Linked DNA regions of Rattus norvegicus. The protein of the gene in region 1 interacts with the protein of each later gene in a pairwise test. Links are inferred from orthologs where the notes say so. Each region holds a gene or a part of one and is shown in the gene's direction. Other genes may lie near its edges.

Region 1 (3,749 bases):
TTCCAGCCTCAAATGTTGAGGGTTAATGGTAGCGTATTGAAAGCACTTTAGCCCCATGGTCTAGCCTATGTTTCCCTTCTTGTCATCGTAGTAGTGGATAATAATAGTATAGCTTCTGAATTTGAATTCGCGCTGTAGTTGAGTGACCTTGGGAAACTTCATCTTGCCGTTTCTTATTTGTAATTGAGAGTAACCTGGGGTTACTGTGATGAAGCAATGCAGACCAGTGACTGGTACAACCCTGGGCACAACAAACCGCACAGTGAACTCATAATCATTTTTTAAAACCCTAACTCCTTCATTGTGTAGTTCAAGGTGATTTAGACCCTACCAATCTTCCTCTGCTCATCAATTTAGGTTCTCCTTAAAAAATCCACCTTACACTGTTTTTGTTTATATTTACCTTTCCTAAAAGTATACGTGGGCTTCTTCAGCTCACCTTTTTTAGGCTTAGCGTGTTTTATGCTATGTTGTTTTGTTTTCAAACCTCAAAACCAAGCCCAACAGCACTGAAATTAGAATTACACTTAGCATGAGACAGCAAAAATCCCTAAAATTGTTCCCCAAATGCCTTTTCTTCATTTACGTTTCTACTCCCAGGACAGTTGCGCATATTTCCTGTCTCCTTCTTGAGTTCCCTTACGCCTTCATACTTGCCTTCCTCTTAGCGTAGGGAACTACTCTCGCCAACAGCACAGCTTCCGGAAACCCCAGAGGGCTAAAAACCCACCCTTAGGGTGCCCCGGGCGGCGCCTGCGCAGGACGTTGTCGCAGGCCTGACGTCAGCGCGCAGGGCCTGGGTCGGCTCCCTGTGACGCTTGCCTCCCATGGCTCCTCCCCCCCGCCTGCTTCTGCGCATGCTCTCGACTCCACCCCCGTGCGTCACAGAATGGCTTCCGACACCCAGGGAGCCCCTGACGTGTCGGGGAGGAGCCCAGCGCGGAGGTACGCGGAGTGGAGCTCAGGGCTGCGGAAGGGAGCAGAGCTGAGAGGCTGGGCGGGCCTGGCCAGGCCAGCGGAGCAGAGACGTCGGCCGAGCGGCGGCGAACATGCGCTTTTGACACATTGGCGGTGAGCTCCCGTGTGAGGCAGCCTCTGGGGTCGAGCCGAGTGGGCAGCGCCGAGGCCTGCCCCTGGGGAGCCTGCCTGACCGCGGGGCTGTGGCTCAGGGCCCGGTGGGCCAGGCCGGGCTTGGGTTCTGGGGCGGCCGGTACGGAAACAACTGTTCCAACCGCTCTAACTGCCCCTTCCTTACTGTCGGAGGTGTGGCCCACTGGGGGCACCTGCAGGAGAGCGAGTGCGGGGCTTCCAGAGGAGGGACGGAGGCCGGGACGTGGCAACCGGGACTGACGGCTCGAGGAGTGGCCCAGTTGGGGTGGCAGCGGCGCGCCCAGCGTCTTGCTCCACCCACCCTGAATTCCCCGGAGCTGCCCGGGTGGTTAGGAGCAGGGTTGGATCTTGATTTCCCAGCGCCCCATATGCGGGAGGGGAGAGCGGGAGCAGCACGCGTTGGCAGAGACTGGTAGTCTCGTGACTGTCTGCCCCGGACTGCTAATCATCTGCTTTGGAGTTGGGGAAAGTATCACCAACCAACTCCGGTTGCTTGGGTTCTCCTTTTTCTCTGGGAAACGATGAGGTGACTAACCCTTTAAGGCGAGTGAGGGTTCTTTTCATTATTTAGGGTTTATTCCTGTAGCGTTTATAAACATTTTAGAACATTTGTTGTTTGCACTTGTAACGGATACTGTAAGTCACTGTTTGGAGTGTGGGGAAATTGAGCCTAGGTACAAGGGGGTGGGGGCAATTGTGATTTTTTTTTTTTAACTTGAGTTCCACTAACTGGTGAGAAGTTTAGCTTGGATCACAATTTACCTTTCTCAGCTTAGGGTTCTGGTTTCAGTTTTCATGAAATTTTTATACCTTCTTCAGCCAGAAAGAGGACTGAGCATTGTACTTGTCAAAAGATAATACCCGAAGTTACTAGATTACTTATCTATTTACCAGTAAATGGACCAGAAATCAGCTCAGTTATTAGAAAAATCTTACCCTGAAGCTTGCTCATGAGTGGTTGTTTGTTAGTCTGAAAATTGTGTTGTTTTCACTGCGTTTAAGAGATAGGGTTAGTGTCTGCCAAATCAGAAAGGTGAAGGGCAAAGCCCAGCATTAAGCTGAGGAGTCAGTCAAAGGAGGCCAAAGGGCACCCAGTAGGGGTATCTCTTCTGGATTGTTAACATCTTTATTTAGAGTAGAAATGCATAAAGAACAAAGAAAACCTTTAGCCCCAGTTAGAAACAGACTTAATCTTAGAAGTTGCTAAATCTGCAGTGCCTTTGCTTTGAGTGAGATAAATTGAAGTTGGATACAGAAAAAATAGACCTGAATATGCTTTCATGAGACCAACAAAATTTATTTTCATTTGGATTTTAAAGCATGGTAAAATAAACTCAAGGATTGATGACTTAAGTTAAAATTACTTTCTAGGCACTTCATAAGGGAGAAAAATGATAAGACCTATTTCATTCTGCATATGTTAATAGCCTATCATGTAAAATTAATTTTCTTAGTGCTGTACAGAGTGTCTTTGCCAGTAAGGTATGTTAGATGATAACTGTCTAAAGTTTAAGTGAGCTAATTGCCAGTTCACATCTAAAGGTCATATAGAGTGTGATAATGTCTGGTGCAGAAGTTGTAATTTTAGACTCATACCCCATACTTGTCTGCCTGTATTGCAGCTTCAGAAGATTGTAGATGTGCCATTTGAGCACTTTTTAAAAGCAGTGAAAAATTTGACATTGGCTAACTTTCCCCACTTACGTAATCTCAGGTGATAGTGAATACAATCTCTCAGTGTACCTGGAGGCAAACTCCACACACAGTCTTCACAGTCGCAGACAGCTTTGAGATCATGCAACGATAGCACATTCGTTATTTAAACCTGGCTTTTAGAAGGATAAAGTTGATGAATAGGTGTAGTGGGGTAAAGCTGGGTACTGCCAGGTAGGTGTGACGGAAGGGTAAGAACTCCTGCTTGTTCTAGTCTAGCTCACAAAGCTTATTCCAGGAGAGATGTGAGAGCCTTTTGTAATGGAACGATTTGAGGAATCACGTGTTTTTAAATTTGGAAGTCTGCTCTCTAACTTTAAAGGCCCACTCTGGCATACTAGATTCTTACAATTGAATTAACATTTATGCTGTGTTTATGCATCAGGCTCTGTTACGAATGCTGTGCCAATAGTAATTCACTTCATCTTCAAAACACAACTAATTTTCCTGTTTTATAGGTGAGAAAATGAGGCACTGAGAAGTTGAATAGCTTGCCCTAGGTCTCCCAGCAAGGGCATAGTTTGACTCTAGGGTCTGGGCTTTTAAGCACTTTGCATGCTGAATTTTCTGGCTTGATTCATTTTCTTTTAAAAACTTATTTCTGTGTGTGAGTGTGTGCTCACATGTATGTGGGTGGCTGTAGAGGTCATAAGAAGAGCTAGAGGTGGAGAGGGAGTTCCCTGTGTGGTGCAGGGGACCATAATCTAGTCTTCTGCAAGAGTGCTGAACCACTGAACCACCCTTTCAGTCCTTCAATGTCCACAGAGACAGGAGGCACCTGAATCCCTGGAGCTGGAGCTGTCTAGATGGTTGTGAGCCTGCCTGATGTGGGTGCTCTTAACCTCAGAACCATCTCTATTCCCATGAATTTTTTTTTTAAATCTTTTTTCTTTTTTGAAAAAGTCTTGTGTAGCCTAAACTGAGCC
Region 2 (3,749 bases), on another chromosome or scaffold:
GCTCTGGACATTTTCTTCTTTTTCTCTGTGCCTCTGCATATTTTCTTTCTATCTACGATTAAAAACCTTCCCCATTAGTCCTTGAACGGCCATTTAGGTGGTTCCTTTATTGTGCTCCCTCACAATTAAAACTGATGCTACATTGGAACATGGGATTTGGGGACACCTGAATCTGTTTGTTCTTGGGCCACAGCCACTCATGTTTGGCTCCGGCATACACTCTCTCTCAGCCACTTTGAGGTGAGAGCTCTGTTTCTTACAAAACAGGATGTGTTCTCTGAGGATAAAGGACTTCTGTACAGGGATATACCACTACAGAATTTTAAGCATTGACCATAGAATCCCAAAGTCTGAGCCAAACAACTGCCCACTGAATTCCAAAGATATTATGCAACGTGCACAACTCACATAGGCTGCATTGTGCATGGGACACAGGCAGCACCTTCAAAAGCAGTAGAGAGAAAACAACTCTATGGGTAGACAAATCCTAAATTATTTGATGCATTTTCTCCTACTTGGAAGCTAATTAATGCCGTTATGGTATCCTCACACACATCCCATTGCTCAGTTAATAGTCCAGGAGGTTACTGACCATTTAATCCTGTGAAGAATCAAGACTCAAGGCTGGCTTGTAATCCTAGCACGTGGGAGGCTGATGCAGGAGGATCGCCGTGGGTGGACAGCTTGGACAAAAATGAATCAAAAGAAACAAAAAGTTAAAAATCACACTTAGAGAAGGCAAAGTCGCCTTTCCAGTTTCCGGCCCTTTACTACCTTGGTCAGTCAACTCGAAGGTTTAGGATTCGAAACTTTTTACTAGGGGCCTGAGATACGAAAACAGGTGGTTGCGTATGCTGAAGTTTAACGAAGCGAACTGCGAAGTGTGACTTGGAGGAAAATACGGTGGTCTTTGCGTGTTGTTTCTTACTTCTGCATCCAGGCTGTCCCTGGTGGCGTCCCTCGGCTCTCCGCCAGCCTTCCCTTTAGCCTGTGGTCTTCTGAAGTCACAGGTTGACTTTCTGATGACTGACCGTCCTTCCCGCCCCTACTGTACTCTGACCCAGACAGAGTGAGTGACACTCGCCCACTTTGTAACCACAGTAATGCTGTCCCCTCCAGCTTCTCGTACTTTTCCCTTGCAGTGCAAGCCTGCGTAATGCTGGGTCTTTGAGGCAGGGGGTGTCTTTGGCTCGCCATCGATCCCTGATTTTTCTGGATCTAGGAAAGTGGGTCTCCGGGAGCAGACAGACTAGAATCAGGGATGTGGCTAGCAATACACCACTTGGAATTCCATGGAGGTGGGCCTGCTTACCAGATCTGCTTACCTAGCACCGGCATGTCCATTAATAATGTGGAAGGACTAGGTGAGCGGTTGCTTGTTTAATTCGAAGCCCTTAACTTTCTCAACGGCGGCGGAAGGACCTCCAACAAGCTAATTCACCTGCCTTTGCTTAGGAAGACGCCAGGACGCAGGCGCAATGAGCTAGGCTCGCTCCAGCCAGATAGTGAGCATGCGCCTTAGGCCCTACTTCGGGCCTCACCCTCCTCGGCGGTGCCCGCCTCTTGCTCCTTGCGCATGCGCAGCTGTGCTATTTCCCGTGAGGCTCCGGGGCGCGGCAAATTCGTCATGGCTGGTACATTTTCTCTGGAACCCTGCTCTACCTCTAGTTCGTGTAACCACCAGGGCAAGCGGAGCGAGTCTTCGCTGCTGGAGAAGCGGCTGTCGGAAGATTCGAGCCGCCATTGGCGGCTGCAGAAGTGGGCGAGCATGTCGAGCGCAGACGCGTCGAGGACACTGCTGGAGAGGCGTGAGGAGAAGGCTGCCGCGGCGGAGAACCCGCTGGTGTTCCTGTGTACGCGCTGTCGCCGGCCGCTGGGCGACTCGCTCACCTGGGTGGCTAGCCAGGAGGACACCAACTGCATCCTGTTGCGCAGTCAGTTTGGGCCGGGGCCGTGGGACCGCCTTCCCGCGTGAGGGTGCTGCGGGAGGGGTGGGGTGGGGGTGAGCTGTCCCAGCAAACCGTGGCGAGGGCATTCCTGTGGGTGGCTCACGAGTAACAGGGCTTTTTCTGGGGTCTTCCATCCCTAGAAGGGGAGCGGTTGAGCATCATCCTGAACGTTATTCAGAAAGAAATATCCAAGCGTTTTTAGCAAGGTGCTTCCTTCAGGGGAGTGTTTTCACATCTAACGGATTCTGTCAGCTGCTTTGGGTACTTTGTAGGCCGCCGCTGCTGGACTTAGTTTAGTGCCCTTGGGCAATCTGTTCAAAGGCTTTTGCCTCAGTCTCCAAATTGAGGGCTAATACATGGGATAACGGGGACGATAAGTGTATGTATGGTATATGGCCACAGGATTAGGCGATTTCTTTACTGGATGAGCTTCTTGATAGAGTTTAGTTTGACTCAAGCATTGCCACCATTAATTAGGGTAGCCTAAAATTGGGTTGAGATTTTTGACATAGTAGTTTTTTAATGGCTTTAAAAGAAATAACGTGTCTTTAATTTTTAATCCCCCGTTTTTGTAGCTTTTCTATCTTGCTTTCTGTGTGTATTAATACTGTTGTTAGGTTTTAAAAATTTAACCTGTGTGGATTAGATAATTCTATTTATCCTCATGTTAGTACTTTTTACTGAGTCTTTTAAACAGTAGGAGCAAAAAGATAATTCCATTCACTGGAATTATCCCTTTGCACCTATTAAACAATGCAGAAGGGTGTAAAAGCTTTTTTTTTTTTTTTTTTTTTGGTTCTTTTTTTCGGAGCTGGGGACCGAACCCAGGGCCTTGCGCTTCCTAGGCAAGCGCTCTACCACTGAGCTAAATCCCCAACCCCGTAAAAGCTTTTTAAAAAAATGACCTTCCAGATTAATTTCTTTTCCCTCTTGCCCCAGTTGGAGTGTTTTATTTACCTTCGTTCACATTTATGACATTTACAATTTTTAATTAATTTTTTTCTGTTTTATAATGGGGCTCTTACTGTTTCCAAGGATGACTTTGAACTAATGATCTAACCTCAGCTTTCTAAGTAGTGCGGATTACAGATGTGCACCCCTATATCTCACTCAACACTTAACACTTTATTTATAGCCACAACATGGTGATTTAGCTTTACTTATTTTAAGATTTATTTATTAAGTATTTATTATTATATATCCAGTATTCTGCCTGCATGTGTGCCTGCACACCAGATCTTGTTACAGATGATTATGAGCCATGCTGTGGTTGCTGGGAATTAAACTCAGGACTTCTGAAAGAGCAGCCAGTGCTCTTAACCTCTGAGCCATCTCTCCAGCCTTTATAATGTTCTATAAATTAATTTCCGAACCCCACTAGTTTTGTTAACATATTAAAAAAATTAGGGGTTAGAGAGATGACTTAGTGGTAAAGAGCCCTTGCAAAGGGCCAGGGTTCAGTTCCCAGCCCTGCATGGTGGTTTACAACCGTAGGTTACTGCAATACAGGGCGTCTGCTGCCACAGGCACCACCCCGTGCACTTGGTGCACACATGCATACAGACAAAACACTCAGAAATGAATAAAATTTTACAGTTTATAATTTCCCATTCTTGAGTTGTTTAATTATCACAAGTGTCCCCAAGGAAATGTCAAGTTTGGGTGCTGGAAAATGTCTTTTTGTTACCTTTATATGCAAATGCTGAGTGTCCCCCACCCCGGTGGGGGGATGTTCAGGTAGTAAAAAGGGTTCCAGGTCAATGTGGCCAAAGTGTGGATAAAGACAAACCTTAGAAAGGG
Region 3 (3,749 bases), on another chromosome or scaffold:
TGTAAACAAAACTTATCCTAGCTACTTGAACATCTCATTATCTGCCTCACACCTGTCTCACACCTGCCTCACACCTGCCTCACACCTGCCTCACACCTGCCTCACACTTGCCTCACACCTGCCTCACACCTGCCTCACACCTGTCTCACACCTGTCTCACACCTGCCTCACACCTGCCTCACACCTGCCTCACACCTGTCTCACACCTGCCTCACACCTGTCTCATACCTGCCTCACACTTGCCTCACACCTGCCTCACACCTGCCTCACACTTGCCTCACACCTGTCTCACACCTGCCTCACACCTGCCTCACACATGTCAAACTGTATGGTCACGGCAGCCACATCAATCATCTGGCTTGCATACTGAGTGGCTGGTTCAGAAGGTTCCAGAGCTGTCCGTGAACTTGCACCAACTCAGCTTCCAGCCTATCTATCCTGAGTTGCTCTGGAATATCCCATTTGTAATAGTTTCTTTTTAACGCATCAGTCCACTTTAATTTTTCCCAACATTTCTTAGTTCAACTCACTGGGATTTTTCAGATTCTTCTGGCTGCCTGCCTTCTGCCCTCTGGTCACCCATACTTCACCCCTTCCACATTGCCTCACAAAGAAATGAACCCAGGATGCCCTCAAGGATCTGGAACTTCACAAAACACACAGATCCTTCAGACCACAGGAAACTACCCAATGCCAACATCCCAAAGGAAAGAGAGACTCCAAACAGCTTAATAGTATGAGGAACATCCCTCCTGGGTCTTACCACAAAAGTGGCAAGGTTTGGATCTGCCCCAGAATTCATCCCTGTGTAATCCTTAAAAAAAAAAAAAATTAAAACAGGGTTTCATGTAGTTCGGCCTAGCGTTGAACTCAATGTGTAGCTAAGGATGATCTTGACCTCCTGGTTCTCCTGCCTCTGCTTCCTGGGTGTTGGGTTTTCGGGTCTGACTTTCAATGTTAGGGATGGAATCCTGGGCTTTGTGCTTCTTAGGCGAGTAAAGCCCTCTACCTACGGAGCTACAACACCAACCACAGGAAATGAATATTGGGCTGAAGCTGCCGGAGAGCAGACCAATCAGGTAGTTGGAGAGTGGGTGCCTGGGTGGACTTCCTCACCAGCCCTGGAGGCCCCAAGGGTGCAGGGGCCCTCTTCAAATTGCTAAGGGCAAGGAGAGGAACTGAGGTTTGTGAACACTGTGGCTTGTGTTTCCTGTTTCAGCAGGCTGCTGCTGTGCGAAAGAAAGAAGAAAATGTTGAGGGGACTTAGGACCTCGATGTGAAAGCTTCCCCACCATCTGAGACCAGAGAGACCCAGAAAGGGCCGAAGGCTCTCCCGAGACACTTGAGACAGAGCCTGGGACCTGAGGTAACTGTGGAGGAAAATGCTTTGGGAATCCAGGTTTGTGCCTGTTGACTTAGGGTGGGGCAGAATATGCTCAGCCATGCCAGCCTCCAGCATAGCAGCAGGTGGTAGAATTTACTTGCTGGGGTTTGTATGACTAAAAAGGCGTCCTATGCTGGAGTCCTCGGGCAACCACGGGGTATGGCTCCTGACTCTGCTCCGTCTGTTGGTTTAGATGTGAGTCCCATGGCTTGGTGTTGGTGTGCTTGGCATCTGTGACAGGAATTAGATGGTCTTTCCCAATCCCTTCCATGCAGGGATCTCTGTAACAGGCCCTTCTCCTTCAGCAACACGTCTGTAGGTGAGGGGCAGAGCCCTGCTGTCTTCTCATGCAGGAAGGAGAGCCTTCCCTAGTCAGTACTAGCCCTGCCTCCAAGCTCTAACTAGGCCCTTTCATGTTGGCAAAGGGTACCTCAGAAACTACAGAAAATCCTAGGCAGCAGCCTTGTGACCTTTCTCTGAACTACAGTTCCCTTTTTATAGCCCATCAGACCTTCCACAAGCCTTCTTGTGTTTAAGCATGATCCCACCATCCTAGAAGTTCCATACAAGTGTCACGTCACACACCAGCAGATGTAGAAGGCTATGGGTCCTGAGACTCTCCTCTGTCTAGGAAGTCATTCCTGTTGCAACTTCCTAATCATTAAGTCCTAATGATGCAAAGGGTAAAAAAAGCCATATTTCAGCGGACAGACAGACAAGCTAGATGGAGAACAGGAAGACACATCATCACAGGCCTGCCCTCCACCCATCAGACCTTTCTTCTGCCCATCTGGAAGGGAGGATCCGCAACCCAGGGAGCTCCCTCTAGTATGAAGCCCCACAGTGGGGTGCCTAAGCCCTCACATTCATAATGGTTTATCCATTCTTCACCTACCTGTTCTTTGCCTCCCTCTCTGACCGAATTGAGTTGATGATTGGGTCCAGACCACAGAGAAGTGCTTTGTCCTTGTAACCCAAACCCAGAGACTTCAGGAACCACAGCAGTTAAATTATTCCAAGATGGAGCTACAAGCCCTGTTCAGAAGTGAGAGAAGGGAGTAGGGAATGAGGGGGCAAAACTGAACATTCTCAATCTAGAGTCTGGCTTTGCCTGGGGCATTTGATTCACAGCACCAAGTCTTCTTGGTAGCCGTGAAGACTTCAGCGCCAGCCACGATGTCTACAACATTTTTATATCTGTTGTTTTTGAAAAGCTGTCACTTATCATATGCCGTGTATGAGATATATGGTGTGGGTGTTGGGTGTTGTCTTTTAAGACTCACGCCTCTTCAAGGGAAGTTTTAGCCCCATCTCATAAATGAGAAGACTGAGGCTTAGCAAATTCACCGCCCCACCCACCCACACATATCTGTTTGGTGGGTATTGACAACCTGGAAGTGAGTCATAGTCTGGCCCCAAGGCAAGGGTTCCCTTCTTCCAATGAAGACAGAATAGTCAGGTGCACTGGCTTGAGAGTATGCATGTGTGTAATTCCAAGTCTCCTCTATACATTCATTTATGACAGAAAATGTGTAGGCTTTCTGAGTCCTTTTCTACATAATTAAATAAACAGCCTTATTAAATAAGCCAGACTACCCAAATCCACAGCAGGTGGGTGAAGATGAGGATTTGGTCACTATATGGATGCCAGGCAAGGCCACCTCGAGGGGCACGAGGCCTGTCCTGGAAACTGTTTCTTGGGGACTTTCTGTTATACAGGTTTCTTGTCTTGTTTCTTACAATTTGTAGGATTCCTGTTGAGAGCACCTCACATGCTTGCTAGTTTAGATGGCAGATTTCGGGACCAGACTGAGCCTGGCAGGGAGGTGATCCTGAGAACAGAGCCTCCCCCTCTGAGTCTCTGAGCCAGATTCTCTTTTTTTTTTTTTTTTTTTTTCGGAGCTGGGGACCGAACCCAGGGCCTTGCGCTTGCTAGGCAAGGGCTCTACCGCTGAGCTAAATCTCCAACCCCTGAGCCAGATTCTCTGAAGTGAACCAACACCAAGCATTTTGAAGGCTCTCAGCTAACTGACTGACTTGATCAGCAGCTGAGAGTCAGATACCCCAGCACTAGATACACAGTAGATGACAAAGAGGAAGGTCGGGGTGGAGTGATGGAGGAATTAGAGCAGGTTTCCCCTAGGTCATGCCAGTCCAGAGCCACAAGATGGCTGCTGAGAGCTAGGCGTGGAACAGAAAGTGCGAGTCACAAACCAGGTCACTTCCTGAAGGGTCGTGGCTATCCTGCTAGGTCTCCAGAAGTGTCACTTAGCAAGAGATAGTAAAGATGACATCATCTTTCTTTTTTAGACTGGGAGATAAAGTGGGCCGGGCTGTCCACAGTTGCACGTGGCTGAGGTTCATT

The links.
Region 2: the proteins of Ndel1 (region 1) and Mis18a interact in binary tests that used the Homo sapiens proteins (3 or more experiments, as listed by UniProt). The link is inferred for Rattus norvegicus from reciprocal best matches to the Homo sapiens genes NDEL1 and MIS18A.
Region 3: the proteins of Ndel1 (region 1) and Traf3ip3 interact in binary tests that used the Homo sapiens proteins (3 or more experiments, as listed by UniProt). The two-hybrid records come from large-scale screens. The link is inferred for Rattus norvegicus from reciprocal best matches to the Homo sapiens genes NDEL1 and TRAF3IP3.

Annotation. Positions count from the first base shown.
Region 1 is NC_086028.1:54,059,317-54,063,065, reverse strand, and holds the start of Ndel1 (nuclear distribution protein nudE-like 1), read left to right. Parts: upstream 1-1,030; 5' UTR 1,031-1,071; intron 1,072-1,127; exon of another isoform or gene 1,128-1,653; intron 1,654-3,749. UniProt on the Homo sapiens protein: Required for organization of the cellular microtubule array and microtubule anchoring at the centrosome. May regulate microtubule organization at least in part by targeting the microtubule severing protein KATNA1 to the centrosome.
Region 2 is NC_086029.1:43,465,013-43,468,761, reverse strand, and holds the start of Mis18a (protein Mis18-alpha), read left to right. Parts: upstream 1-1,604; 5' UTR 1,605-1,627; coding exon 1,628-1,934; intron 1,935-3,749. UniProt on the Homo sapiens protein: Required for recruitment of CENPA to centromeres and normal chromosome segregation during mitosis.
Region 3 is NC_086031.1:107,245,733-107,249,481, reverse strand, and holds the start of Traf3ip3 (TRAF3-interacting JNK-activating modulator), read left to right. Parts: upstream 1-1,326; 5' UTR 1,327-1,366; intron 1,367-3,749. UniProt on the Homo sapiens protein: Adapter protein that plays essential roles in both innate and adaptive immunity. Plays a crucial role in the regulation of thymocyte development.